Linked DNA regions of Notamacropus eugenii. The protein of the gene in region 1 interacts with the protein of each later gene in a pairwise test. Links are inferred from orthologs where the notes say so. Each region holds a gene or a part of one and is shown in the gene's direction. Other genes may lie near its edges. The genes, in order: SDCBP2, PRPF38A, C1H1orf35 and TNP1.

What was found.
Region 2: the proteins of SDCBP2 (region 1) and PRPF38A interact in binary tests that used the Homo sapiens proteins (3 or more experiments, as listed by UniProt). The two-hybrid records come from large-scale screens. The link is inferred for Notamacropus eugenii from reciprocal best matches to the Homo sapiens genes SDCBP2 and PRPF38A.
Region 3: the proteins of SDCBP2 (region 1) and C1H1orf35 interact in binary tests that used the Homo sapiens proteins (3 or more experiments, as listed by UniProt). The two-hybrid records come from large-scale screens. The link is inferred for Notamacropus eugenii from reciprocal best matches to the Homo sapiens genes SDCBP2 and C1orf35.
Region 4: the proteins of SDCBP2 (region 1) and TNP1 interact in binary tests that used the Homo sapiens proteins (3 or more experiments, as listed by UniProt). The two-hybrid records come from large-scale screens. The link is inferred for Notamacropus eugenii from reciprocal best matches to the Homo sapiens genes SDCBP2 and TNP1.

What each region holds. Positions count from the first base shown.
Region 1 is NC_092872.1:432,994,930-433,002,203, reverse strand, and holds the start of SDCBP2 (syntenin-2), read left to right. Parts: upstream 1-4,253; 5' UTR 4,254-4,340; intron 4,341-7,274.
Region 2 is NC_092873.1:512,530,474-512,538,334, forward strand, and holds the start of PRPF38A (pre-mRNA-splicing factor 38A), read left to right. Parts: upstream 1-4,856; 5' UTR 4,857-5,189; coding exon 5,190-5,319; exon of another isoform or gene 5,320-5,653; intron 5,654-6,356; exon of another isoform or gene 6,357-6,484; intron 6,485-7,861. UniProt on the Homo sapiens protein: Involved in pre-mRNA splicing as a component of the spliceosome.
Region 3 is NC_092872.1:9,916,922-9,924,209, forward strand, and holds the start of C1H1orf35 (multiple myeloma tumor-associated protein 2), read left to right. Parts: upstream 1-4,278; 5' UTR 4,279-4,515; intron 4,516-7,288.
Region 4 is NC_092877.1:315,186,314-315,192,036, reverse strand, and holds TNP1 (spermatid nuclear transition protein 1), read left to right. Parts: upstream 1-4,176; 5' UTR 4,177-4,221; coding exon 4,222-4,360; intron 4,361-4,955; coding exon 4,956-4,984; 3' UTR 4,985-5,214; downstream 5,215-5,723. UniProt on the Homo sapiens protein: Plays a key role in the replacement of histones to protamine in the elongating spermatids of mammals.

The sequences.
Region 1 (7,274 bases):
GACAGTTCTTGCCATTCACAACATTGTAGTTGTCTTGTATATTGCTTTTCTGGCTGTCTTTACTTTGCATTGGTTAATGTCAGTCTAGGCTTCTTCGTATTCATCACATGCATCATTTCTTTATATGTACAATAGCATTCCATTCCGTTCATGAGCCACCATTTGGCTCAGGAATGCATGTTCTAATGATGAGCTTCTACTTTGTTTCCAGTTATTTGCTTCCGCAAAAGGTGATGTTATAAATATTTTGGTGCACCTAAGTCTTTCATGTTGTTATTGACCTCCACGTATATGCCTAGCAGTAGAATCTCTTGGTCAAAGAGTTTGGGCATTTTAGCCACTTTATTTACCTAATTCCAAATTGCTTTGCAAGTTGGTTGCCCCATTTCACAGTTCAACCAACAATGCTTTAGTGTGTCTGTGTTTCCACAATCTCTGCAATATTGACTATTCCCCTTGTTCTGTCAATTCAGTTGTGATCTCATTTGGGATTTTCTTGGCAAAGATACTGGTGCGGTTTGTCATTTCCTTCTCCAGCTCATTTTACAGATGAGGAAACTGAGGCAAACAGGGTTAAGTAACTTACCCAGGGTCACACAACTAGTAAGTGTCTGAGGCTGGATTTGAACTCAGGAAGATGAGTCTTCTTAACTCCAGGTCCAGCACTCTGTGCACTATGGCGCCACCTAGCTGCCCTATTCTCTTTTGTCAACTTCTTGGGCATAAGGTAGAGCTGTCTGAATTTCTCTTACCATTAGTGATTTGGAACATTCTTTCATATGTTAACTATCCCATTTTGAGAAGCCAAATGACTTGCCCAAGATGACACAGTGAGTTAGCAGCGGCATTAGAATTAACTCCTAGGTTTCTTGACTCCTCCTTAGATGTTCTTTCCATTATACCACGCTGCCCTGGGGATGAATTTGGCTGAAACTGGGTCATTATCAGTAGGTACTATGTGATCAGATATAGCTCAATTGTTTCTTTTAGAGATGAGTTTAGACTCAGTCATTTGGGAGTTTGCTCTGGTTGGAGGTTGAGTGGGATGCAAGGGACCGTGGGACATCAGATCTCCCTGGTTCTACTTCTGGCTTTGACTCTGACTCACTCCAGATTTTTAGGTTAAGTCCCAATAAAATCCCTGTGACTAAGCACAGAGGGTGTGAACATACTACCTGCACACTGATCATGGAACAGTGTAGGTAAAGGCTTTCTTGAGGAAGTGGCATTTAAACTGGGCCTTGAATGATGCATAGGACATCAACAATCAATCAGTCAATTAACAACAGAGTTGAAAAGAAAAGGTACATTCCAGAAATAGGGCATATTTGGGGTATGGCAAGAAACAGAATTTGTTGAGAGTATAGAATGTCTGAGGGGGAACATTGGGGCATATGGACTCAAAATAAAAATTAGATATATAATATATGTAAAAAAATATAACCATGTATTATATAAAAACATATAAATAACGTAATATACTTACATAATTATAAATATAACATAAATATAAAATTAATAATATAAATATTATGTAACATATAAATATAATGTGCAAAGTATATATTAGACACGTAAATATACATATATACATGTACATACATAAAAATACATACACATATACATAAAAATATAAAATCAGATTGAATGGCAGGCTAAGGCATTTTACTTGGCAGGCAACGAGTAGCCAATGAAATGTTCATTGAAGGCTCATGCTTTATCTTGTCTACTCTCAGGTTCTCTCCTACCCCTCCAGTGTAAGTGACTATGCCGTGCCTCCCTCAGTTACTCCAGACCTTGGGGATTTCTCTCCTCTGAGTTCCTACAGCCCTGACTGCCTGTGTCCCTCATTATTTACTGGAGCAGAGACTGCCTTGAATTATTATAACCTGTTTCAATGGAAAAGTCCTGGTCTAGCAAGGGGACACTTGGTTTCTAGGTCTACCTCTGTCACTAACTCACTCTAGGTAAGTCACTTCCCCCTCTCTGTCCATTTTCTCCTCCAAAAAACGAGGCGGTTGGACTAAGGCTTTATGACTCCACAGAGTATGTCATATTTCCTTACTAAGACTATAAGTTCTCTTCAACTTGAGTTTAGATAGGAGCAGGAATATATTTCCTCTTTCTCTTGTGTTCCCTATAAGACCCAATATAGGACTTTACACACATTTGGTACCCAATAAAGATTTACCATTACTTGACTGGGCAGTATAAAGCCAGGTTCAAGCCAAAAATCAATAACTGGCATCAGTCATATTCACCTGCTCACGGTCACATCCCCACAGTCATCACAAAGCAGAGATCAAAAATTTGGATAACTAGTCCTAACATCTTGTGTCTGCCTTGATCTTCTCACTGACACAACCAGACTCACTCAACAAACATTTATTTAGCACTTCGACTCAGAATACTGTGCCAGGAAATCGGGAGGTACAAAATTTAGATGAGATGAGACAAAGTCCTTCCTCTCACGGATTTTATCTGGGACATGATACATAGGACAGTGGGGATTGCATTGACCTGAGATAACTGAGGATAGAGGGCTTATTTATTAGATTAATTGAATGTTAGAACCAGAAGGAAATAGAAGCCCAGAGGAGGGAAGTTGCTTTGGCCAAATACATACAGAAAGTTTATAGTACAGTCAGAACCAGAAACCTGGTCTCCTGGCTCCCATCTCAGTGTCTTCTACTGCATTGCACTCTGCGTGTTCAAATAATAAAGATAGTTGTCTTAATTTTCCACTTTTGCTTATCAGAGGAGACCTCAACTAAGGGATAAGGCCAGGATTCTATGATATACAATTTAGAAATGAATCATTAATTAAACAGTAAGCATTTTTTATAATACCCACTGCTGCCAGGCACTGTGGTAACCCTGGAGATGAAATAATAAAAATGAGACAGTCCCTACCTTCTAAGACCTTTTATTCCATCAGGGAGATTATCTATCTATCTCTACACACATACACATACATATATAATATACACATGCTAAAACACATATACAATATTATACATTCCCATATATGTCTATATAAACATGTATGTATATAAGCCTATATATGCATGCACACACATATATGTGTGTGTGTATATATATATATTATACACAAGAGATGTATGTGTGTCTTTACAGCTCATAAATACAACATAATTTGTGGAGGAAGCAAAGACACTAACAGTCAAGCAGATCATGAAAGGCCTCACATAAGCTTTGAAGGAAGCTCGGTATTCTCAGAAGCAGAGGTGAGGAAATGAAGAGCCTAGAACAGCAGAGTTAAAGGGGCCTTTAGAACCTAAGCTACAGAGCATCAAAGTTGGGAAGAACCTTAAAGACCTTCTTCTAGTCCAATTTCTTCATTATGAAGGGGGTTCAACCTAGCTTATGTATGGCTTATATTTTTCTGTAATTATTTTGTGTCTAAGTTGTCAACTCCTCAACAAGAAGACAGGATGCTCATTAAGACAAGCTTCTCCTTCCCATGTCTGTCCCACAGTGTTAGGCCCCCAAGGAGGACTTTATCAAATACTTGTTGAATTAAAATTACTGATGTCCACACTCAATAGGACCTTCATGGTTCCTGAGGTATAAATTTCATCACCACAATGGTCACTTAGTTTTTGAATTGGCCAATGTCCTATGTGACAGGTAGCTCAGCTATTCATATCTAACATGGGCTTGTCCCTTCCTTACGTCAGCCAGCTAGTGATCCATCAATGGGTGTGCCCAGGTCCTTGAACTTTGACATTTCCAATGAAGTCCTATACCATGCTCTGAGTGAGTAAGACAGAAGTCAACATCATGAAGAGGAAAAGAGGGACATTTTACTGACCAAATTCCAGTTTGATCCATTCTAAATTCTGAGCTCTTGGAAAAGATGAGATCTCAAAACAAAATACAGAATACATACTGAGAGCTGGAAAGAACCTTAAAGATCTTTTATTCTATTTTATGATTTTACAGAGAAGGAAACTGATAAACAGAAGCTATGTCTTGCCCTAGACTACACAACTCAAAGCAATCCCATCTCCCCTTTGCCTATCCTGTACTCCAAGATTAGATCTAATCTCATTACACCCCTGAGAGTTAAAATTGGAACATCATTCAGAAAGTGATTTGACAACTAGCCTTTACCTGTGGCATCCAAGGGCCCCTCCCCAGAGCAAGTCATAAATCAGCTGTGGGTAGAGCCAGGCCAGCCCCTCCCAACTGAGGGCAAGCATCCAGGAGGAACTTCAGCTGGAAAAATAAAGCGTAGAGACTTCCTGAGAGGAGGACAGACCTTCCTGGGAACAGGAGAGCAGAGGAGTAGACTAGTGCCAGCCTCGAGTCTTCAGGTAAGCACCCTTAGGAAAACTCTGGTCATTTAAAGACCCACCAACAGCAAGTTGCTTAACTTTGACTGAAAGGGTGATTTGATGGCTGAAGAACCTTCCCTTTTTTTTCCTCCTCTTGGTCTCCTTTTCTTTTCTCCCTCCTCCTCTTTTTTTCCTCTTATCTGACTTCTTTCCTTTTTCTCTTCCCCTCTTTTGTCTCTCCTTCCCTTTCTCCCTTCTCCCATTCTCGTTCTTTCCTTTCTTAGTTTTCCCCTGATCTCCCTCTCCTTTCTCCCTCCCCTCTTTTTCTCCAGTTCTCCCTCTCCATCCTCCTTTTTTCTCCTCTCCCTCCTCCTCCTTCCTCTTTTCACTCAGCTTCCCCTTCTTTTCTCCTTTTTATATCTCCTGCTCTCCTTCCTCTATCTCTCCTTTTACTCATGCCCTTCCCCATTCCTCTTGCTGTCTCCCCATTTCCTTCTGCTCTCCCTCCCCCTTTTCCTATCTCCCCATTCCTCTTGCTCTCTTTCCTCCGCCCATTTCCTCTCCCTCCCCTGCCCCTTTCTTTTTGCTCTCTTTGCTGCCTCTCTCTCCCCTCCCCCTCTCTGGCATTATTTGATCAGGTCTCCTTAGGGTGCCCACAGCGCACCCCCTTCTCCCCGCGAAGGACAGAGCTGCGCTGTGGTCCTCTCTGCGAATTCTCCTCTGACCCATTGGTTCTTTTTCTTTTTTGTCTCTCCGCCTCCCACCATCCAGTACACTCAATCCTGCCTCAGTGCTCCCCTCCTGGGGGTGAGGATTCCGGAGGTAATGTAGTAAAGGGGCTCTGAATGGCAGCTAGCCAGCCTCCAGCGCCAGGATGAAATGTGAATCCTGGGGATTAAACATTAATAACGTGGTGAGAGTGGGCACTGATACCGTCTGTTTCTTCGCTGTGTTCTGCTTCCCTGGCTCCAGAACAGGGTACTTTGCCTTGAAGGCGTCGGGGCCAGGGGCCCCAGTGGAAGCAAAGGGCTGGCTGGAGCCAAGACCTCTTTCCATTAGCCCCAAATGGCCCGCGCTTCTCTGCCGGCACTCCGATGTCCTCTAATGGGTTTTCCTCTCTGCTAGAGCTGCTTGGAATCCACTGCCTCCACCCCCTCACCTCTCCAAAGGCCCAGAGCAGCCTGTTTCCTGTGGCTCCCCCTTGCCTGTGACGTTTCTCCCCGCTGTGTGAGAAGGCTCTATTTCATTTGAAAAAAAGAAAAGGATTCCCCGAAAGTCAAAGCTGGAGGCTCATGTAGCCCAGTCCCCCCCATTTTGCAGATGACAGCACTGAGGTTCAGAAAAAGGAAGGTCATCCAGAATCAGTGACATAATGAGGACCAGAAGCCAGGGTTCCTGACTCTGGCCAGGGATCTTTCCCCACCCTCATACAATCTGGAGCTATGGGCTTTTTTTTGATAATGGAATTTTTTTTGTTAACATTTTAATCAAGATGACGATAAACAAACCCTGGTGAGCTTTTTTTCCCTTTTTTTTTTTTCAAATCTCATTTCATTTTGAGAAACCAGTTGTTTCCTACCTAGGAATACCTCTGCCTCCGTCTCATTCTGTGTCTCTATTGTGCTACCCTCTACCCATATCTCTCTGTCTCTGTCTTTTTCCCATTCATGTGGTTTCAGGGATGATGATGAATACACACATGACCTTGTCACAACTTCTCCTATAACTCTCCATTTAATTAGGCTTCTTCTGACATCCCCATCCCCCTTCCATAGCCAACACCTTAGCCAGTAAAAATGACCAGAGTAGGAGATGAAGGACAGCAAGGTGGCTCTGTGGATAGAGCACTGGACCTGGAGTCAAGAAGAGCTGAATTCAATTTTGGCCTTAGACATTTACTAGCTTTGTGACGGGGGGCAACTCACTTAACTCTATTTACCTCAGTTTTCTCATCTGTAAAATGAGCTAGAGATGGAAATGGAAAACCACTTTGCCAAAAAAAACCCAAATGGGGTCACAGAGAGTCAGACATGACTGAAACAAAAACAATCTAGACTGAGTCAACAGGGAGATGAAGTTTCCGGTTAGAAGAATAACAAGGAAGCCAGTGTTGCTGGATCTCAGAGTATGTGGGAAGGTAAGGTGTAAGGTATAAGTCTTCTGGAAAGGTTGGGGGAGAGGAGACTAGTTGTGAAAGGCTTTGAACACCAAACAGAATTTTACAGTTGATCTTGGAGATGATAGGGAGCCATTGAAGGATATCGCGTAACAGGGTGACCTGGTAATCTGGTTAGACCTGCAGTTTGGGAAGATCTCTTTGACAGCTGAGTAGGGAGAGACTTGTGGAAGGGAAATCAGCCATAAGCCTTCTTCAATAATCCGGGTGTGTGGTGAGGAGGGCCAGCACCAGGCTGGGGGCAGTGTCAGAGGAAAGAAGGGGGCATTGAGAGAGAACTGTTGCCATGGCAACAGATTGGATATGGAGTTGGGGGGATAGGAAATGAGAGAGAAAGAGAGTTCAAAGAGAAGTGAATTAGAGGGCCCAATCTGCAAGTAGCTTTTATATCTGAGGGATTTGGGAATTCTAGATTCCAAGGATATTAGAATCTCTGCTATGAATTTTACTATGAGCAAGGTCCTTCCTGTTTCAGACTTTTGAATAGATGATCTGAGGGCCTTCCAGCTTCGAATTCAGGAGTACATTGTGGAGACTCTTTAAAGGAATTTTTTTTCAGTCATACCAACATTTCCTCCAAGCTCCAACCTTCCTGAATGCTCCCACCTCTCCCAGCCCCTGAATGGTATTCAAAGCAGCTACTGTGTGCTAAATTCCTTGGTTTTACTTAACCTCAAAGGACCCAGTAGCTCGGTATCTCTGGGAAATGCCTTTCATTAGCAGGTGCTTATAGAGGGTGTGGTAGAAAGAGCTCTGGACTGGCAGTCAGGAGTCACTAATTTGCTGGCTGACTTTGG
Region 2 (7,861 bases), on another chromosome or scaffold:
GGACAAATGCACATATGTGGATGGAGCCCATGACCTGAAAGGACACGTGAAGAACCACTGAGGACCCCACTTGTCTCGCAGCTTCACAAAGGCATCCTTGGCCCCAGTTGGGTGAGGGCTCCCTCCCATCCCTCCTTTCACAGAGCCCTATCCTCTCTACCACAAGTGGCTGGTTGAATGATCTCCAGCCTTTCTTCTGGTTTCTTCCCTTCGACTAGCTGGGATACCAGGAGCAGCAAGGGTCAGGTCAGCTCAGCCCACCTGAGGCCTGGTAGCTTAGGACAGCACAAGGTGCATATCTGTAAACTAACACTGCCCTCCACCTCACACACTGTGACTTGGCAAAGCCAAACTCACACGGTAACGTCCAATGACTCCGCCATCTTTCACATTTCCCAGGAGGCCCAAGTGATGATGGGAGCAACACAACAACACTGGTCAAGCTTCTCCAGGACACAAGGGAGGCAGAGAGGAAAACTTAGAGAACTACTCACCTGAACTGGACCGAGGATGGTCTCAACCTGAATGTCCTTCGGCGGGTCATCGTACCAGAAGATCTCCTGTTCGGCAGCCTCTCGGCCAAGCAGCTTGCGCTTGCTGACGGAGATCTCACTCAAGCGAATGAACCACTGGACCACAGCATGCGAGTTAGCCTCAGACTCTAATGAAGAGACTGAGCAGGAAGAGAAGAGAAACACAGGCACCCTTTGTGATGTCTGGCAGAGCCAACGGCTCCTTGGGGAACTATTCTTCCTTCTGATAACCTAGCACTTCAAGAGTCAGAAAACCTTGGGGTGAGCCCCAGCTCAGTCAATCATTCCTTGTGGGTTGCTGTAGAAGTCACAAAACCTCTCCAAACCTTCACTTCCTCAAAAGTCAGATGGGAGAGAGCTGCCATCTACCAAAGGGTCTTAGCTTGGGGCCCTTGTTTTTCAAAAACATTTTAATAACTATATTTTAGGCACTTAAGAAGGTGATTCTGAGAGAGGGTCACTAGTTTCACCAGTCTGCCTGTCTGGGCAGGGTGACCACCACAGGATGTTTAGTACAACCACAGGCATATAGGTGTCTAAATAAGCCATGCAAATGACCCGAAGTCCAAGATCAGAAACAATTGAGACCAGTCCTCAAAGAAAACAAGAGCCACCAAACACTGTCAGGACATAAAAGGCTCACCTCAGCCAGAACAAAGGGATGCACTTACCCTGCTGCTGCTAGCTGCTCACTACTGTCAGGCTCTCACAAATCTCACGCGGCTGTTTTGTGGGCACCCCTCCCAATGCCATGGCCATTCTCTAAGACGTTCCAGGTCCCCTAGGGGATTCTGCCTACACTGTTCCATTTAAAATCATTTCCCTCCTCAGCCATTCTTCTTCTTGGGGACCAAGCTTCCCTTGGATTGACTCTCAGCATCCCCTGTTCTCCCTTCACGCCTCTACTCCTGTGTCCTCCTGGTAGTCCCCCCACAGGGGCTGCTCCTTACCCCTGACTTTCTCCTGGACCACCTCCACCTCCAGGAAGGGACCTTTGCCAAAGCCACTCATGTCCAAAGGCCCCTTTCCCATCCTGGTGCTGCCATTTACCGCCTGCAGGTTGATGGCTATTTAACAGCTCCCTTCATTAGCTTTCTGTCTCTTACCTGCCTTATTCTAGGTCCTCCCAGAGAATGTCCCCACAAGGTAAGAGGGACACAGCTGGCCTTATCCCCTCCTCTCCTCCCTCTTTTCTAGGACTATAACTGCTTGAGTTTACTCATCCAGCCCTCAACTTTTCTCCTCGGTCTAGACACATACAGCAATTTCTTCTCCCCATTACACAGATGAGGAAACAGGTCCCAGAGTTACTGTCAGAGGCCAGATCTGAAGTCAGGACTTCCTGACTCCATCTAGCCCACTTTGGACTACTGAGTCAGCTGATTAAAAGTAAATGACTTGTTTTCCCTTTTTACAGTCCTCCCTTTTCAATGATCAGCAGTCTTATAATCAATCAAACCATTTCAGTCAACTTATTGGACTACAGACTATTAGAGCTGGAAAAAGGGCAGTTTGGTGGCTCAATGGACAGCGCTGGGCTTAGAGTCGGGAAGACCCATCTGCATGAATTCAGATCCAACCTCAGATACTCACTAGTTGTGCAACCCTGGGCAAGTCACTTCACCCATTTGCCTCAGTTTCCTCATCCGTAAAATGAACTGGAGAATGAAATGGCAAACCACTATCTTTGTCAAGAAAATCCCAAATGCGGTCATGAGAGCATCAGACACGACTGACCAACAACAATGAGAGCTGGAGAAGACTTCATAAATTACTTAGCCTAAGCCTTTCATTTCAAATACAATCCTATGTACATCCTGTAATATACTAGATGTATATAGCTGGTAACCTCTCTATTTGCTCTTTGCTTTCCAACCCATCCCCTTTTCTTGACTCTAAGCCCCAGCTCCTGGTGGTCTTTTCTCTCCCTTTTCAAGGACCGAGAGACCAAGTCTCAGGAGTCATTATCCCCTAGTTTATAAGCCTTCCTCTTGCGGGGGAGTTGGTGGGCTTGGCCCCTCCCAGCTACAATATCCTGGTGTTAGGGACAGAGCCCTGCCCCTGCCCTGCATTTCCCAGGGGAACTCACCATCCCTGGAGAGCTTGATCAGCTTAGCGATATATGGGTTATCATCATCATTGCACTCCACAAGTATGAAGTCCCCTACATTGATCTGGACTTTGACATTGCTGCTTGGAGATGTCACACAAATACTTCTGCAAAGCAAATGCAGGGATCAAGTGGCCCAGAGTACAGGGAAATCAAGTCACCAAGACCCTCAGGCCAGATAAGGGAGCTCACTAGTCAAGCCTCACAGATCTACCTCCCACTCAACAAATCTCCAGAACAGAAAAGGATTCCCAGGGAAGTGTGCCCAGGGTGATGAGGAGAGGAGCAGAGGTGGACTGGGGGGCCCCAGATCACAGAGGCTGGCCTCTAAGACCCTCCTCTCCTGGCATACCAGGAATAGGGCCCAGCCTCTCTTGCTGTCTGGAGAGGTGAACAACAAACAGCAAGGATGGTGCACACTCACCCCCCAAAAATACGCTCCAAACAGATACAAATTTGTTTTTTAAAAAGAGAACTTTCCTCCTCCTGGCCTTCTTCATATCTCAGCTTAAGTCTCATCTTTAGAAAAAGGACCTGGGAAGAGCCTCATCTTAGCGTCCTTCCTGAGATGAACCCCCCTCGCCATGCAATCTGTCTATACACTATCTGCACACTGTTGGCAGGTTGTGTCCCCTATTAGACTGAGCCCCTAGAGGGCACGGACTGTCTTTGGTCTTTCCTTGTATCCCCAGTGCTCAGCACAGTGCCTGGCACACAGGAGGCGCTTCCTAAAAGCTGGGACTCTTCTCAGCCAGTGAAAAGCCTAGGCCCCACAGAGACCACACCCTAAATACTGTTAAATGGCTCCAGAATATCATGATGGCAGGAAAGCCCCACCTCAGGGGGCTGGGTGCCAATAAGCAGACCCATGGCCTGGGAACCTGCTGAGTTGAATCACTTACCTGTAGAGATTGTGACGAAGTTTCCTGTCACGGAATTCACAGTTGAGCCATGAATAACTTCGTTTGGCCTTGAGCCTTGTGAAATAGTTGTTCCTCATGGCTTTTGGTCCTGAGTGGGGAGTGCAGAAGTAAGCAGGATTCGGGTGGAGAGCATGTCCTGGACTAGCATGGGGAACTCTTGAGGGGGCATTTCTCCCCACCCTGGATGCCAGCAAGTTTGAGCCACTTGCCCAGGCTCCCGCACTGGGCCAGAAGCTGTCCTACCATACTGGAGCCTGGACTTTTTAGAGGTTTAGCCAGAAGGAAGCTGTCCCAGGGCCTGGCAGAGATCTCTTCCCCATCTAGTGCCCCAAGGCATCCATCCTTTCAGCAAAGCGAGGGCTGGGCTTCCTGCTGGCCACGATGGGCCTGCTCTTTTCCACAAGCCCCTAAGTTCCTTGGCTTTCTGCGCTCAGGGCTCCCTAACTGGGTTTCAAATGAAATGGGGGAGAAACAGTAGCTGCATCCCCAGCAGGGGGACGGGAGGGAGGAAGGTCTCGCAGACTTGGCAAGATCAGCCTGAAGCAGGCTGAAATGGCAGGAACCCTCCTTTAACCCCGACCCCCCCACCGGGCAGGATCTCCACGAGGCCAGGCACTCAGCGGATGCCCGCTAAATCCAACCAAGACCACAGGCCGGGAAGTGGAGGGTACTTCGCAGGGCGAAGGGCAGTGGCTCGGGAGAAGGCTCGGGGCGCCCCTAATTCCCTGGGGGAGGGGGCGGTGAGGAGGACCCAGGGCCACGTCCCCCTCAGACAGATGCGGAGGCTCAGGTGACCCCGAGGGCGGGCCCCAGACGGGCCTCCCGGGGCAGCTGCGGTCTGCGATAAGGACCAGCCCCTCCCCCACCCGGGCCCCTGAGGCCCCCAGGAAGGCGGTGGGGGTGGGGCAGATCGCTCCTCGCCATAGAGTGGGGGGCTCCGGGCTCCGGAGGGGGCAGGGCAGTACGGGAGGCCCCTTCCCGCCCCAGTTCGGCCAGCCCCCTCCCCCGCTTCCGAGCCCGGCCCGCCGCCCAAGCCTCAGTTTCCCCGCGTGTAAAGGAGGGGGCCTCGCCCCCAGCTCCCCCCCACCCCGGAGGCCCCGGCCCCCCAGGCTCACCCTCCGGCTTCCTCCGCCGCTCCGCGTGCGCGCTGCTCGCCTCCTGGCCACCGCCAGCACCCGAGAGAAGCTTGAAATAAAAAAAAATTCGCGCCAAAAAAGAGTGGCCCCGCCCCTCGCGTCACGCAAGGCCCGCCCCCTTTCTCCTCCCTCCTGCGTACGGATCGGGACTTTTGTCTCCGCCTCTCCCCCTCCCTCTTCCACCCCTCCCAGATTCAAAAGGTCGTTCGCCGTCCAGGCGCTCCGCCCCCTACGTCTCCCCCCTCCGCTCTTGTTTCTAGTTACGTCATTATTACGAAGCCGCGTTTGGGAAGGTAGAGGCGTCGCGGTCGCGGCGCGTGCCCGGTTTCAAAGTGGCCGCCTCGGTGACGTCATCGGCCGCGCCGAGACGCTTTCGCCCCCGCTTCCCCCCCCCCCCCCCCCGCTTCCCCCGGCTTGGCTCGTGCGGAAGTGACGCAGAAAGTGCCCGCCGGAAGGGCTGCAGAGGCGGCGCCAAGGGCTTCCCAAGATGGCGAATCGGACGGTGAAGGATGCTCACAGCATCCACGGCACCAACCCGCAGTACCTGGTGGAGAAGATCATCCGGACCCGAATCTACGAGTCCAAGTACTGGAAGGAGGAGTGTTTTGGACTCACAGGTGAGCGGCTGCGGCTGGGGCTCCGGACATCTCCCCGGCGCGTCTCGAGCCGCCCAGGGAGGATGTGAGCTCCCCGGCCGGGGAGGAGTTCAGACAGAACCCTTGGAGCTCGTAGCCTACCCTGACTTTTGGACTGTAACGGTCCCTTGCGTTTCTGAGTCCCTTTCTCTCGAGCCGAACTAGGGAAGGCGTCGGAAATGTTTGCCTGATTGAGAGAGGGGCTTCGGGAGGCCTTTTTACCTTCCTCACCAGCATACCTGCAGCACGGAGTAGATACTCACTAAGTGACCGTGTCTTCCTGCCCCCTCTTTCATATTTGGAAAGCCGCACGCAGGTAGGAAGCGTTCGAGGCAGGATTGAACCCGGGCTCTCCCACCCCAGATTCTCCTCTGCTCCCGGCCGGCTCCTGTTCACGTCCAGGGTGAGCTAGCTTGGACCATAGTGGAGAACGTCGGGGTCCCTGGTGCCTGGCCCCGGCCGGGCACGGCCAAGAACGGGGTGGGGGAGGACAGACTCGGAGCTGCCTGTCCGTGGGTGATGTGGCCGAGCGAACGTCTATTAAGCTTTTATTTGTTAAGCGCTGTGCTTAATGCTAGGCCTAGGAAGTCCGAGCCGCCCCCGTCCTCGAGGACTTAGAGTGGGGTGAGCAGTGGGTGTGCAGGGAAGTCAGCAAGGTTGTTGTGTTGGTGGGGTCCCCGGAGCAGAGGGCACTCAGCCCCTTCTGCCCAGAGCGTTGCCTCTTGATCCTCCTTTGGTCGCTGTCCTTGACCCTGGCCCGGGGAGCAGAGCTCTGGGTGAGGTCGCTACAAAGGTGCAACATTGAACGAAACTGACAAAGCCTTGTTGCGGCTTGGAAGGCTGCCCAAGACCCGGGAAGGGATTTGGCTGAAACAGGTGGGGCTGCGCCTGCGCAGTACATTTCAGGGGGTCCCTGCTTTTTCTAAGGCCAAAGACACATTCTGGCATTTAAATGCCGTGGGTCAGCCAGACTGGTCTTGCTGTTTTTGACCTCTCAGAATCCATCTTTTCTTTCAAAGCTCAGCTCAGCTGCCACCTCCTACACAAAGCCGTTTCTGGATCCTCCCTCCTCGGCTGCCAGCGTCTTCTCTCCAACAGTTACCTTGTATTTAGTTTTTGCTTCTATGGATACATGTTGCCTTCCTTGGTAAGAAATCCTTTCTTTGAGAGCTGCACGTTTCAGTTTTGTTTTACATGCCTGGCATATTGTGTTTAAAGAGAGATGAGGGACTACTTCATTTTTGCCTCTGCTTCCCTAGTACCTTGTGCCTGGCACATGGCTTGAAATCAGTCACTGCTTCTTGAATGAATGCCAAGGCAGCTCTTTCAGATTCAGAAGGCAGAGTAAGTGTGTGTTTGCATTGGTACTTCCCAGTTCTTCCCTGAACTGAAATCCTTCCCAAGTTTAACATCTTATATTCTAAGGTTCTTCCCCCAGCTGTAACATTATCTTATTTTGAATGACTTGCCCGGAAGTGTTTGTATGTTGAAGGGAGAAAACATTTCTTGGGGCCTGGTCAGGCCTTTAGGGCAGGGCCATATGCAGAGATGGTGATAATAACATTGTCCGCCGATGTGATCGGAAAGGTCACAAGGGCCCCTTCACAATATAGTAATCATAACTGCCACTTAATGGTATTTTAAAGTTTGCTAAATGTATTACATAGCATCTCCTGGGAGGCAGCTGCTGGAGGTAGGATTATCCCCATTTTATAGATGAGGAAATTGAGATGAGAGATTGTCACTTGTCTGTCATCTCTCAGTTAATAAATGAAGAACCCTGGTCTTCCTAACTCCAGGTCCCTTTGACTGCTGTGTCTCACGGCCTAAACCAACCCCACTGCCGCTGCCCAGATACCAGGAGTGTCATGTTTTTAGCAGCACTCTTCTGACTCCTGACCCCCATGCCAATGCCCCTGAGCAGAACAATTTTTCAAGCTGTTATCCCAAAATGTCAGAGTTGGAAGGGGACTCAGAAAGCATCTAGCTTGACCTTTTTGTTTTACAGTGGGAGAAACTGAGGCCAGGAGAGGTTTCCCCCAGTGAGTCAGGGTTCAAAGCATAGCAGCTTCAGGCTGCAGAGAACAGGTAGTAGTGTAGTGGGGCGGGGTGGTAGAGTGTGAAGTCCGGCTGAAAAAGGTAGATTGGGGCTAGAAGCAGAAGGCCTTTAGTACTAGTGGAATCTGTAGTTCAGGAGCATGCTGAGCCTGGAGTCAGGAGAGGACCTGGGCTGAAATCCTTCCTCATGCAGGTCCTAGCTGTGTGACTTTGGGCAAATCACTTCACCTCTTTCTGCCTTAGTTTCTTTAACTATAAAATGGTGATAATGAATAGGAGAGTTTATTTGTATAGCACTTAGCACAGTGCTCTGTAAATACTAGCTGTTATAATTATCATTGTTATCATTATCATTTCTCCAAGCACTTGGTAGCCACTGAAGGGCTTTAGATAGTAGCCAGAAAGGGCACTAAAGCCTGACCTTGGGGTATGTAGAAAGGACACAGATGGTAAGAGGTTGGAGGGA
Region 3 (7,288 bases), about 420 Mb from region 1:
TGAACTCCTCAAAAACAAAGACTGTCTTTTGCCTCTTTCTGTACCCCTACTGCTTGGCACATAATAGGTACTTAATAAGTGTTTAATGACTGACTTCAGGGATGGATTCAATCAGTGGGGAAAGTTGAGAACACCCTGGCCATCTTGCCATCAGCCCTGCCAGCCTCCAAACTGGGCCAGAAACCATACTCTTGTCCTGTGGCCCCACTGTTCTGACCGGTGAATGCTTCATTATATCCCTCCTTGTTTCACTTTACACTGTAGCAACCCACCCTGCCTCCCTCACTCCCTCCTTCCAGCTCTGGAATCATAATCAGTACTACCATTCCTATTAGAAAGTGTGTCAATGACCCCCCTTTCTCTCCACTCATCATCTCTTCTACCTTCCAGATCAAAATTCCATCCTTAGCCACCATACCCTCTTATGCGTATTGGCTCTCCCATTAGAAATAAGCTCCTTTTTGTATTTCTATCTCCAGCTTTTAGCACCGTGTTTGCACATAGCAAGTACTTAATAAATGTTTTTGCATTCATTCATTCAAAAATAAAGATTGTCAATGATTTTTTAAAAAGGGGAGGGAAGAGATCACAGGGAGGAGCAGCACAGAAGCAAACAAGAACGAGCATGGCTTGTTCTGGGACTGGCAACACCCATGGAGGCCACACTGACTGACCTGGAGGGGTGTGAAGGGCTTCCTGTCGGGTCATGCATGCGCTCACAGCCAAAGAGTACTTGTTTTCCAGTCAACATTTTCTGATCGATTTATCACTGGATCATTGATTGAGAGCTAGAAGGAATGTTAATGGTCTCCAACTCAAGTAGAAATGGGAGCCATGAAGTTGTACATAAGGATCTCTGAAGATCTTTACATTAACTTAGAAAGTCACACACCAACATTATCTGTGTTCTATTGTATTTTTATTTATTTGATTAAACATCTTCCCAATTACATTTTGATCCCGTTCAGACAGTGCTCTGTTGGGAGTGTTGTGCCTCCTAGAGTGTGTTTAAAACCTGATCTAGACCAATCTCATCACTGGAGATGAGGAAACCAAGTCCCAGAGAGTCTGTGTCACACAGACCAGAAGGGAGTAAGCAGCAGCAGGGATTTAAACCTAAGTTAACTACTTCTAAATCTAGCACTAGCCTACACTGCCTTCCATGTCAGAAATCCCATGCTTCAAATGAACCAAAAAGTGCACAAAGCCAATGCAACCAAGATTAGAAGGGAAGCAGAAAATGGGAAACAATGTTTACAATGTCTTTGATAAAGGCCTCATTTCTAAAATATATAGAGAATTGAGTCAAATTTATAAGAATACAAGTCATTCCCTCGTTGATAAATGGTCAAAGTTTTCAGAGAAAGAAATTAAAGCTCTCTATAGTCATGAAAAAATGCTGTAAATCACTATTGACTGGAGAGATGCAAATCAAAACATCTCTGAGGTACCACACTACACCTATCAGATTGGCTAACGTGACAAAACAGGAAGGTGATAAATGTTAGAGAAGATGAGGGAAAATCGGAACACTAATGCATTGTTGGTGGAACTGTGAGCTGATCCAACCATTCTGGAGAGCAGTTTGGAACTGTGCCCAAAGGGACACAAAAATGCATACCCTTTGACCCACAATACCATTTCTAGATCTCTGTTCCAAAGAGATTACAAAAATGGGAAAAGGAGTCACGTGTACAAAAATATTTATAGCAGCTCTTTTTGTGGTGGCAAAAATTGGAAATTGAGGGGATGCCCATCAATTGGGGAATGTCTGAACAAGCTGTGGTATCTGAACGTAATAGAATATTATTGTTCCATAAGAAATGATGAACAGGCGGATTTCAGGAAAACCTGGACTTGCATGAACTGATGCAGAGTGAAGCAAACTGACCCAGGAGAACGCTGGGCACAGGAACAGCAGTGTTGTTCGATGACCACTGTTGACAGACTTGGCTCTTCTCAACAGTGCAGGGATCCAAGACTCCTGATGGAAAATGCCACCACATCCGAGAAAGAACTGTGGAGTCTGAATGCAGATCGAAGCAGGCTGTGCACTCTCTTTTTGTTTCTTCTTTCACGTGGTTCCCAATTATTGGTTCTAGTCCTTCTTTACAACATGATCAATGTGAAAATATGTTTAATAGGAATGTATATGGGGAGCCTGTATCAGACTGCGCACCATCTTGGGATAGGGGGAGGAGGGAGGAGAAAATTTGGAACTCAAAATCTTAAGGAGTGAGTGTTGAAAACTGAAAATAATTAATTAAAAAAATGAAACAAAAAGCAGAGAACAGGTGGCTCTGTGGCCTCAGATTCTAAATTTGTGACAAAAGGACCACATTCAAGGGAACCAGTGAGGGGATCCTTAGCCTTGTCCAGCCCAGTTTCTTTGTATGGGAACCATAACTGCCCTTCCCAAAGTGACTGATCATCTTGTAATCGACAAATCTAGTGCTTTTCCCTCATATCTCACTTGTTTCACCCCTTTAGCATTTATCACTACAGACCACCCTTTCCTCCTGAATACTGTCCCCCCTCTTCCATCTTCCTGATTCTCCCCTGTGCCCCTGGCCTGCCAGAATTCTGTCCTGAGTCTTCACTCTTTACATGCTCTCCCTGTGATACCCTTAGATACCCTTAGTGCCCACAGGTTAAACACATGAACCATGTCTCCAGCCCTTGGACCTTTGCCCAGCTGCACCGCCGGCTCCTCCTCAGGAGTCTCCAGTTGGACCACGTTATCCTATACCCTCCATCCCCCGCCACTTCTGTGCAGGGCACCGTCATTCTGCCAGTCACCCAGGTTGGCAACCCCCCATATCTAATCAGATCTCAAACACAGCCTTCCAACTGGCCTTTGCCTCAAGCCTCTCCCCAGGGGTGGCCTCGAGGCCACGTGTTCTAGGTCCTCGGGTGCAGCCCTTTGACCGAGTCCAAGTTTTACAGAAGGATTTGTTCTATGAAGGTGGCTCCAATGGCAGGGCAGCACTCGAGGACCTGGAGGTCCACAGGTGGCCTCGAGGCCCTCGCCACCTCCTTGCGCGGAGTCCTCCCCACAGCTCCCTACTGCCCGTGGGATCCGACACTGCGAAGGCCTTCACCCCCAGACCCCAGCTTACCTTTCCAGCCAAACTGATCTTCCTGTTTCTCCCATCTCCAGGTCTTTGCCCTGGCTGTGCCTCATTCCCTAGTGCCCTTCCAGGTTAGCTCCAGGAGTCCTCGTGTGCACGAAGGCGCCGCATCCCCAGCCCCACACAGTGCCTCGAGGGGCCGTGGAGCCCCTGGGAGGAGACCCGCCGCGGACGGAGGAGGTGCCCCGGCCTTGGCACCGAGGAGGGGGGAAGCCAGGGCGCAAAGAGAGGCTGCCATATGAAGCAGGTGTGAGCGGCGCTCCTCCAGGAGTCGGGCTGGAGGACGAGGCCGGGCTGGTCCCCGCCCCTCGGCCCCCCCGCCTGAGCGGGTCCCCGCCCCCCGGCCCCCCCAGCCTGGGCGGTCCCCGGCCCCCCGCCCCCCGGCCTGAGCGGGTCCCCGCCCCTCGGCCCCCCAGCCTGGGCGGTCCCCGGCCCCCCGCCCCCCGCCCCCCCCAGCCTGAGCGGGTCCCCGCCCCCCGGCCCCCCCAGCCTGGGCGGTCCCCGCCCCCCGCCCTCTACCCCCCCCCCGCCCCGGCCTGGGCGGTCCCCGGCCCCCGGCCCCCCGCTCCCCGCCCCCCCCAGCCTGGGCGGTCCCCGGCCCCCCGCCCCCCCCCAGCCTGAGCGGGTCCCCGCCCCCCGGCCCCCCCCCCCAGCCTGGGCGGTCCCCGCCCCCCGCCTGGGCGGTCCCCGGCCCCCCGCCCCCCCCAGCCTGGGCGGTCCCCGCCCCCCGGCCTGGGCGGTCCCCGCCCCCCGCCCCCCCCTTGGCCTGGGCGGTCCCCGCCCCCCGCCCCCCCCTTGGCCTGGGCGGTCCCCGCCCCCCGCCCCCCCCTTGGCCTGGGCGGTCCCCGCCCCCCGCCTGGGCGGTCCCCGGGAAGGCGGCGCTCAAGGGCCTCCGCCTCAGTTCCCCCTCTGAAGAACGGGAAGGAGGCAGGCCTGCTCGGACTGCCCGTGAACGTGGCGCGGAGCCGAGGCGGCGAGGCGTGAAAGCGCCCTCTGTAGGCTGCGAGGCCCGGCCCCGCAGCGCCTCCCGGCGGTGACCGACGGAACCGCAGGACCTTGCCAACTCCTTCTCCATCCCCGCCCCCGCGGGAAAGAGGATCGAGGAAAGAGAGGGGCGGGGGAAGGCGGGCCTTCCGGCCGCGGCTCCGCCCACTCCGGCTGGGGCTGTAACGGCGGGCGTTCTCCTGTGCCCGCTCCGCTGTGGCCTGTTCCCCCCCCCCCCTTATTGTGCCGCGGCGGAAGAGCCTCCCGGCAGACTGCGAAACTTGGTGAGCCAAGCTGGGCCTGGGTCGAGGAGCCTGCGGTCCAAGAGGGTCTGGAGCCGGACGGGCCACGGGCCACGCTGGGGTCCCTGGTCCTGAAGAGCTGAAGGGACGAACTCGAGGTGTGTGTGTGGGGGGGGGGGGTGCCATGGCCTGAGGGGGGTTAGGGGCGGAGCCTGCAGGAGCCCTCCTGGGGGGCCCGAGAGGAGGGGGTTGGGGGCAGGGTGGGGCTTGCGGGAGCGCGCCTGGGGCCTGATAGGAGTGTAGTGTGGGGGCGGGGCTTGCGGGAATGCGCCTGGGGCCTGAAAGGCGGGAGCAGGGCTTGCAAAAGCACGTCTAGAGCCTGATAGGAAAGGGGTAAGATTTGAGGGAGCGTACCTGGAGCCTGATAGGAGAGAGGGCTGGGGGCGGGACTTGAAGGAGCGTACCTGGAGCCTGATAGGAGAGTGGATAGGGGCGGGACTTGAAGAAGCATGCCTGCATCCTGATAGGAGAAGGGTGGGGGCGGGACTTGAGGGAGCGTGCCTGGAACCTGATAGGAGAGGAGGGTGAGGGCGGGGTTTGCGGGAGTGCGTTTGGGGCCTGAGAGGTGGAAGTGAGACTTGCAAGAGCGCGTCTAGAGCCTGATAGGAGAGGGGTGGGGTTTGAGATAGCGTGCCTTGGAGTCTGATAGGAGAGAAGGCTAGGGGTGGGACTTAAGGGAGCGTGCCTGGGCTCTGATAGGAGAGAAAGCTAGGGGAGGGACTTGGGCGTGCCTGGGCTCTGTTAGGAGATGGGGGGGGTCTTGAGGAGGCATGCCTCGGGCTTTATAGGAGGGGAGTCTGGGGCGGAGCTTGAGGGAGTGCATCTGAGGCCTAATAGGTGGAGTGAGGGGGGCGGGATCTGCAGCGGCACGTGTGGGGAACGGGGAGTGGAGTGAGCCGAGGAGGCATGCAGCGAGAGAACTGAGGGGTGACGTCCGAGGTGTGAAGGGAGGGGGCCGCCCATGGGCTGCCAAGGCCCAAGACTGGCTGAATCGGGGACAGAGGGGATGTCTAATAATGGACATAACGCTTTAAAGATTGCTGACCTCTGGATCTGCAGGACACCAGCAGGTGCTGTGGTTATCCCAGTTTTACCGGCTCGCCCACGGCCCAGACCTCCCCGACCGCCCGGGGCCAGCTCCCTGCTCTGTGACCGCCGCCCGCACTAACTGGACTTGGTGTGTCGTGTGCTTTGAAAACTTCACAGGGCTGTATGAATGGGAGTTATGGCTGAGGCTTGCAAAATGCTTTCCTCAGTCACTTTGTGAAAGGGTTTTTTCATTTATGTTTTTATTTTTGGGAGAAAAAACATTGGATTTGGCTGAGGTCGCAGAGCTGGACCCGGGCAGAGCCCGGATGCAAGCCCAGGCCACCCTCCTCCCCATTCAGCCTCCTTTCCATTACTAGCTCCTGGATTCCCTGTGACCTCGGACAAGTCAGTGAAGCCCTTCCAGACCCTAGAAAATGTCGTGGAACTTGGGTTTCAATCCCAGCTCTTCCATTCACCACGTGTGTGACCTGTACAAGTCATTTTATCTCTCGGGACTTGTTTCCTCCTCTGTAGAAATGAGGAGGATTAGACTTGATGACCTGAGGTCATTTCCAGCTCTAAATCTGTGATCCTACGAGTGATTTCTCCCTCAGTCTTGGTTTCCTCATCTGTAAAATATGCGTTGGGCCAGGTGATCTCTTAGGTCTCTTTCAGTTCAGATGTCCTCTGCTCAGAAGGCACTTTCTGTCTCTGATACTACCCAGTCTGTGACTGTTAGCATTTCAGATCAGAGGAGGACATTGAAGAACTGGTCAGTTGGGATAGTGCCTCAGTCTTCACACAGGGTGCTCCATGTTAGCAAAGACTTTGTTTCCCATATTGGACAAGGAGCTCTTTGAGACGACAGAGGTCTAATGTCATGGGACATTAGAATGGATCTCAGAATGTAGAATTATAGCATGTTAGAGCTGGAAGGAATTTTTGACACCACCTCACTCATCCCGCTCCTTTTACAGGTGATACTGGTCCAAAGAGGGAAAGGTAATTAATTGGCCAAGGTGATATTGAGTCCATGGAAGAGTCAGGACCAGAGAGCAGATCTCCTGCTGTCTATCGCAGACTCTTTCAGGCATCAGGCTGCTTTCCCAACCTTTGGCTGTTCTTTCCTCCAATTCTAGCTTGGATACTCAGTCTCTTAGAAGTTCAGAATTCTTCCCTTATGGGAAGGCTGAACAGAGAGTGTCTCTAGTCATCTCTCCTTCCTCTTCCCTAGAAGGGGATGGTAGAGCTACAGGGGTGGTAGAGCTAGGGAGCTGGCCATCTACAGAGAGATGGGCCCTAAACTTTGTCCATAGTTTCTCTCTGGGTCATTTATCCTCGAGAAGGAAGAGTTGATGTCAGGAGAAAGATATGGGAAATGGTCTTCTTGTTTTCTCTTTTGTTTGTGAGAAGATAGAATGAACTGAAGCAGTCAGGTACAGTGAGAAGAATAAAGAGCAGCTTGGGAGATACTGGAGCAAGGCATGGGTTTGAGTAAGCTTCTGTTCATGAGCAGGAACAATTAAGCACTTACTTGTACCCTGCCCTGGGGAATGCACATAACAAATAATGAAACAATCCCTAATGGCCAAGAACTTGCATTCTAATGTCATCTTACCCTCTCTGAGCCTCAGCTTCTTCCTGTGAAATTAGGCTAAAAAATCCTTGCAGTATCTAACTCACGGGGCTCTTGTTGGTAAAGCATAGTAGAAACGTGAGATGATGAGGATGTTGTTGATAATAATTCTTCCTGGTTGATGAGCCCGCTGCCTGTCAGAAAAGCGGTGATCTATTTGGAGGAAAGTGTAGATGGCATGCTCATCAGATGTTCAGATTACATTA
Region 4 (5,723 bases), on another chromosome or scaffold:
GAGTTGGCTATGCTCCCTAGACAGATACCTCCAGGCCCTCTTAGGATCATATGTGGCCTCTCCAAACCATACCTAACTTATCACTGGCTTTCTCTATACTGTGGTACAGTTAGTTGAAGAAAGGAACAGGTCTGATCATTGGGCATTTGATCCTTCCTAGCCCCATGAGTCCAGACATTTTGTCCAACCTAAACACCCCTATTGACCGCACCCTTTGTTTCTGACTCACACACACACCCCCATTGGGCTTTCTGTCTACTCAAGTTTCTTGTTTTAGGGTTGAGGAGGGGTTATGCTCCCAGACTATGCAAAGGGGACTTTTCTTTTTCTTTGTTTTTTTTTTTTCCCAACAAGTTTCCTAGGCCTGGCTTTTTTCCCCCAGATGATCTCAGCTTCTCCTTGGCAAGATCAATCCATTGGGGGTAGGAGGGGTCATCATGGGGAAAGAAATATCATCCTGCCTCTGTAGCCATCAGAGAAAATGAATGCCTTTTAATCCTTCAAAATGAATTCCTTTGAGGATTTTTAGGAAGCAAAGCCTTTGGGAAGAGGAAAGTTTATTACTCCAAGTTAGGCTGGCCTTCTCCATTTAGAAAGAATGTCACCTAACCCCCAATATATGTAAAATTACTCCTCCCACCCCAACTCTTCATTCTCAATTTTAACTTGAAGAAGAGGGTGTGACAAAATCTATGACCAGGAATGCTTAGTCAAAAGGCTAATCAATTCTGATGACAGTCAAAGCTTTTCCCTTTTCCAATCCTGTTTCCAACTATGGCTGCACAAAGACAGAACAGGGGGTGGAAAAGGGAAAATGAAAGTTCTTTGTCATGTTTTCACATCCCCTATATGTATTATTAATCTGGGGGAACCAAACATTAATTCTCTGACAAAATATGAATGGTTCCATCCATGTCATAAAGATAGAACCCTGGTCTTGAGGAGAGCCGTGTTTTGTGAGCAAAACAATAGAGGAAAATGTGACATGTTTCTAAATAGCTTGAGAGAAACATGAATATTGAATACAAAAATCTCTCTGCCTTAACACATCTATGGAGGGAACAATCAATGGATTTTTTTCTCCTGAGAACCAGCTAATTTGGTTAACACAGTGCTAAGTACTGTGAGGGTGCCAGGGTGGAAAAATACAAATCATCAATTCTTCCCTTTAAGAAGTTGTATTCAAGACTGATGGCAAACACCAGTCTACAATACCTTCTTGAATCATCACCAAGAGAAGGGTCCTGGAGCAACATGGAGATTCTTGGAGAGTCTAGTTTTCAAGTTTGGAAAACAATTTATTGGGAGATGTTTTAGGAATAAGCTGAGAATGCCTAGTTATAGATGGGACTAGATGACCTCTGACTTCATTTCTAAGGATTAACCTTTCTTAAGCTTGAAGGACTCCTGGGGATGTGGGTGAGTTTTCTGGGTTTGTTTATTTAGAAATTGTCTGCTGTGTTATTAGTATGAGGAACTCTTAATGAGGAAATTACCTCCTCCAAAGCAATTGATATCTTCTCTCCCAGTACTGTATGGTCTTGGAAAGCTGTCTGAGAGCCCTGAAGGATACCTGTCTTTCCTAGAATAATGCAGCTTAGATCTATTTGATTCTCAGACCAGTTCTTTGGCCACTGTATTTTACCATCGTCTGCTTTCCAGTTATAAAATAGCAAAGAAGAAGAAAAATGATAGGAGGTGAGGAATGAGGAGTCAACATTTTTAAATCAAGATTTCCTTATCTAACCTTCAAGGCTTTTTATATCTGCTGGATCAATCTTATTTTATCATCATCATCATCTTCATCAATTTCCAACAGTTCTCCCTTTTGCACCTGTCATCCTCCTCACTTAATGTTATTATTCTTTCATTCAAAAGCCTTCATCTGATTCCAACTACCTATTAAATAAAATCCTGGCATCAAAGGTCCTCTATAATCTGTTTCCAATCTACCTTTCTGGTTTAACTTCACATAATCTACCCATAATCCAGTCCAACCGGACTACTCAAGTTCAAGAGCCACCTTGAACATATTCTTTCCCTGATTAATCCAGTCTAAGTTGATCTCTCTCATCTCTGAACTTGTAATACTAACTAAAATGGGTTTACATATATCTTTAAGATATGAACTCCCTTATCTAGCACTTGGTTTACTTATTCAGTATTAGCTACTATTATGTGCATGACACCCCTCTAGCCCTGGAGTACTGGAAATTTCTTTGTATTAAAAACAGTGATGTTTCCTGCTCTCAAAAAGTATTTACATTCTACAATGGAATGGAATAGGGTGGGAATTACTACATAAAATATAGAAAAATAGGTATCTATATAATATATAGATATATAATATAATATATATGATAGATATATCTATGTCTGTATGTACATATGTGTGTATGTACATGTATATATATGTACATATATAGTGTGTACATACACATAAATATATGCATGTGTGTATATACATACATATACATGTGTGTATGTAAACATAAATATACACACATGCACACATATATATGTATATGTAGGGTTGATGGAAGCAAAAAAAAAAATCCACGAATCTCTTTAGGAAAATTTGAAGGAATAGGAACTTTAATTTTATTCTGAAAACAACCAATAAGTTTATCAATCATCAACAAGTTACGCGCTGAGGACACCCTAGGTACTCTGGCACTTTGGGGGACACAGAAGAAATACATCACCTCTGGGAAGGAATAAAAGACATAGGCAAGAGCCCCAAATATTAGCATTGGCGCTGCCATTAGTATGTTCTTTATGACCTTGGTTGAGTTCCTTCACTTCGGTAGGTCTCAGCTTCCTCCTTTGTGAAATGAGAACATTATATTTCACAATCTCTGGGATCCCTTCAAACCCTGACACTTTGTGGTTCTGTGAGATGAGAACAGCCTCCATGAAACATATAGTGAAGCAGGGACCTTCTAAAAATCAAATGTAGGACTATTATCTTTGAAGGAATGGAGAGGGCCATTGATTGTTTATATCTAAATCTACGAAAGCAGTGTTTGAGAAGATCGACTTCTGTCACATCTAAAGGAAAGAGTTTGAAGGCAATATAATCAGTTCAGGACCTGGTTCTCCACCAGGACTGAGAAGAAAAGTTTTCAAAATCAGAAGAGTTTGAGAGTAATAATACAGACTGAGTATTATCCTTGAGGCAGTGGAGAACCATTGAGATTTATGCTGCAGTCAGTGAGCAGATGAAAGCAATATTTTAGATTAATCTGGCAGAAATATACAGGTCATATTAGAGAGAAGGCACACCTGGATGAACCAGGTTAACAAAGGCAGCCAGGAAGGAGCATTCTTGGCGTGATGGGAGACCATGAATCTGAACTAGGTGGGTGATAACTAGGTAGGAATTAGCTAGAGAAGGAAATGGCAAACCACTCCAGCATCTTTGCCAAAAAGACACCCAAATGGGGTCAAGAAGAGTCAGACATGACTGAAACAATTAAACAATGTAGGAATTAGGAAAAATAAGAAACTCTACTAAAGGAAACAGTTCAAAGACAATAATCAACAGGGAAGAGAGAGTTGATAAGAAGGAAGAGCTGTTCATTTTAGGACCTAAGTTAAAAATGAGAGGAAACATTAAAGTGGAAATTCTTTGTAAGGAAGTAGAGATCTTTTTTTTCATGTGTGTATGACCTGATCTTTTAAGATGAACTTTTTTTAATTTATAGTTTTCATCACTGTATTACAAAATAATTGATTTCCTTTGTAATTCTATGCATTTTTGCTTTACCTCATTAAAAACATTATTTAGATAGAAGGTTCATAGACTTCACTAGACTGCCAAAGATGTCATGATATGCAAAAAATGAAGAACCCTTTTTTTCAGGGATATAGGAAGGTCTTTCTAGCCTCTTTCTGGACCACATTCTACATGTATATCCCCCAATCAAAATATAAATAATTTCTCTTATGTCTCCTGGGAAATTAGGGACCTGCCAAATAATAAATAGTTGATTTGAGTTTATCTCTTATATGGAAATGACTTCCTCATTTGGAGAGGTCCTGAGTCATGATAATGAAAAAAAGCCCCACTCTTTTTCCCATATAAGGTCCAAAGCCCATAAAGGTAGGGTCTCACAATGGGGCCACACCCTCTTCCACCTCATAATGGCCAAAGGGTTAAATAGACCAGCCCCTGGCCTTTGGGCTTTTCAAAGCCCCCGGACTCTGGCAGCTAGCAACATGTCTACCAACAGGAGAATGAAAAGCCGAGGCGGGAGGAGAAACAAGAGCAGATCTCCTCACAAGGGGGTCAAAAGAGCTGGAGCTAAAAGGAAATACCGGAAGGCTGGGCTGAAGAGCAGAAAGAGAAGTGAGGAAGGTGAGTATGGGGGTGAGGAGGAAGAGGAGTTTCCTAGAACCCCCCAGAAAGGGACTTCAAAGGCCACATCTCTAAAGTCCACCCCTTAACCAATGCAGAAAAATCCCTTCTAATACACTTGGAGGCAGGGTGGTGTTAGTAGGAAGAGCCCCCCTGGACCCCTTGGGGGGGGGGGTCATGAGAACACCTCCCCATGAGTCCTGTCTCTGCCATTTACCAAGATGTGTGTGATCATGGAAAGGTAAGTTCTTACTTGTGTGCCTCAGTTTCCTCATCTGTAAATTGAAGGTATTCATAACTCTTGTAAAGGGGTTCTTGTGAGGGAAAAACGCTTTGTAAAATAAAGAGTTAACCTTATATAAAAGCTCCAGACAAGACTTTTGAGTTGTCATCAACTTGAATTTTTTCAGGTTTCAGATCTTTTAAATTCTCTCATGGTCCACCTGAATCTGACTTTGAGAGCTTTATAAATGTCTGTCCCACAAAAAAAAAAAAAATGTCCACAGTTGACATGACCAATAGTTGGAAGGTTATAATTAGGATGCAGCAGGTTTCAGGAACAAAAACCCACCCCTATCTCTGTCCTTCCTCACAGCTCACAGGACTTACCGTTCCAACTTGTGATTCCACCAAGAGCTCAGAGCTGCTGGACTTCTTAGCAACATCAGTCCGCAGTGAAAAAGAACAGGGGGTCTGCCAGGGCAACCAGAGGTGGTTCGATCAGAGAAGGAAAAAAAAGGAAACATATTGAATTTGGGAAAAATCCAGGCTTGAGGAAGTGAGGAAATGGATAAGAAGGCATTTTTCCCCCAACATCTCAATAAAATTTAGAAACCTGGTGTAAAAAAAAAAAAGTCATGACAATTTTTCGTTGCTCTGATGAACCTCTCTACGGGCTGGGGGGGAGGGATGGGGTTAATGTTTTATAGCCTTTTCAAAGTTTCCCAGTCCAAGCCCAGCCACCCCTAGGCATTATTGAAAGGAGGCAGTCAGGTAGTAACAGTAACATTAAGAGAAAAGGAATATTATAAAAATTCCAGTAGTAACAGGATGAAGCCACACTCCTAAAAAGTCTCCCTGCTCTTCAGATCAAGATCTCACATGTTGTGCTCCCAAGGCACAAGAAAAAAGTTTGAGAAAAGTGATAGATAGCTTTTTGCCATTGAACATACATGCAAAACACACAAATTTTACACGTGACCCCCACAGTTTAGTTTTCAAATACAACTTCATTCCTTTATAATGCTCGTGTAAATTTCCAAGGAGAAACGTCTTCCATCCTGAGAAGCCACAAGTCAACAAAACTTATATTCTCCCCTGTTTGTTGTGTTATAAATACTTGCTCAGGAGAGACTCTTTTCGC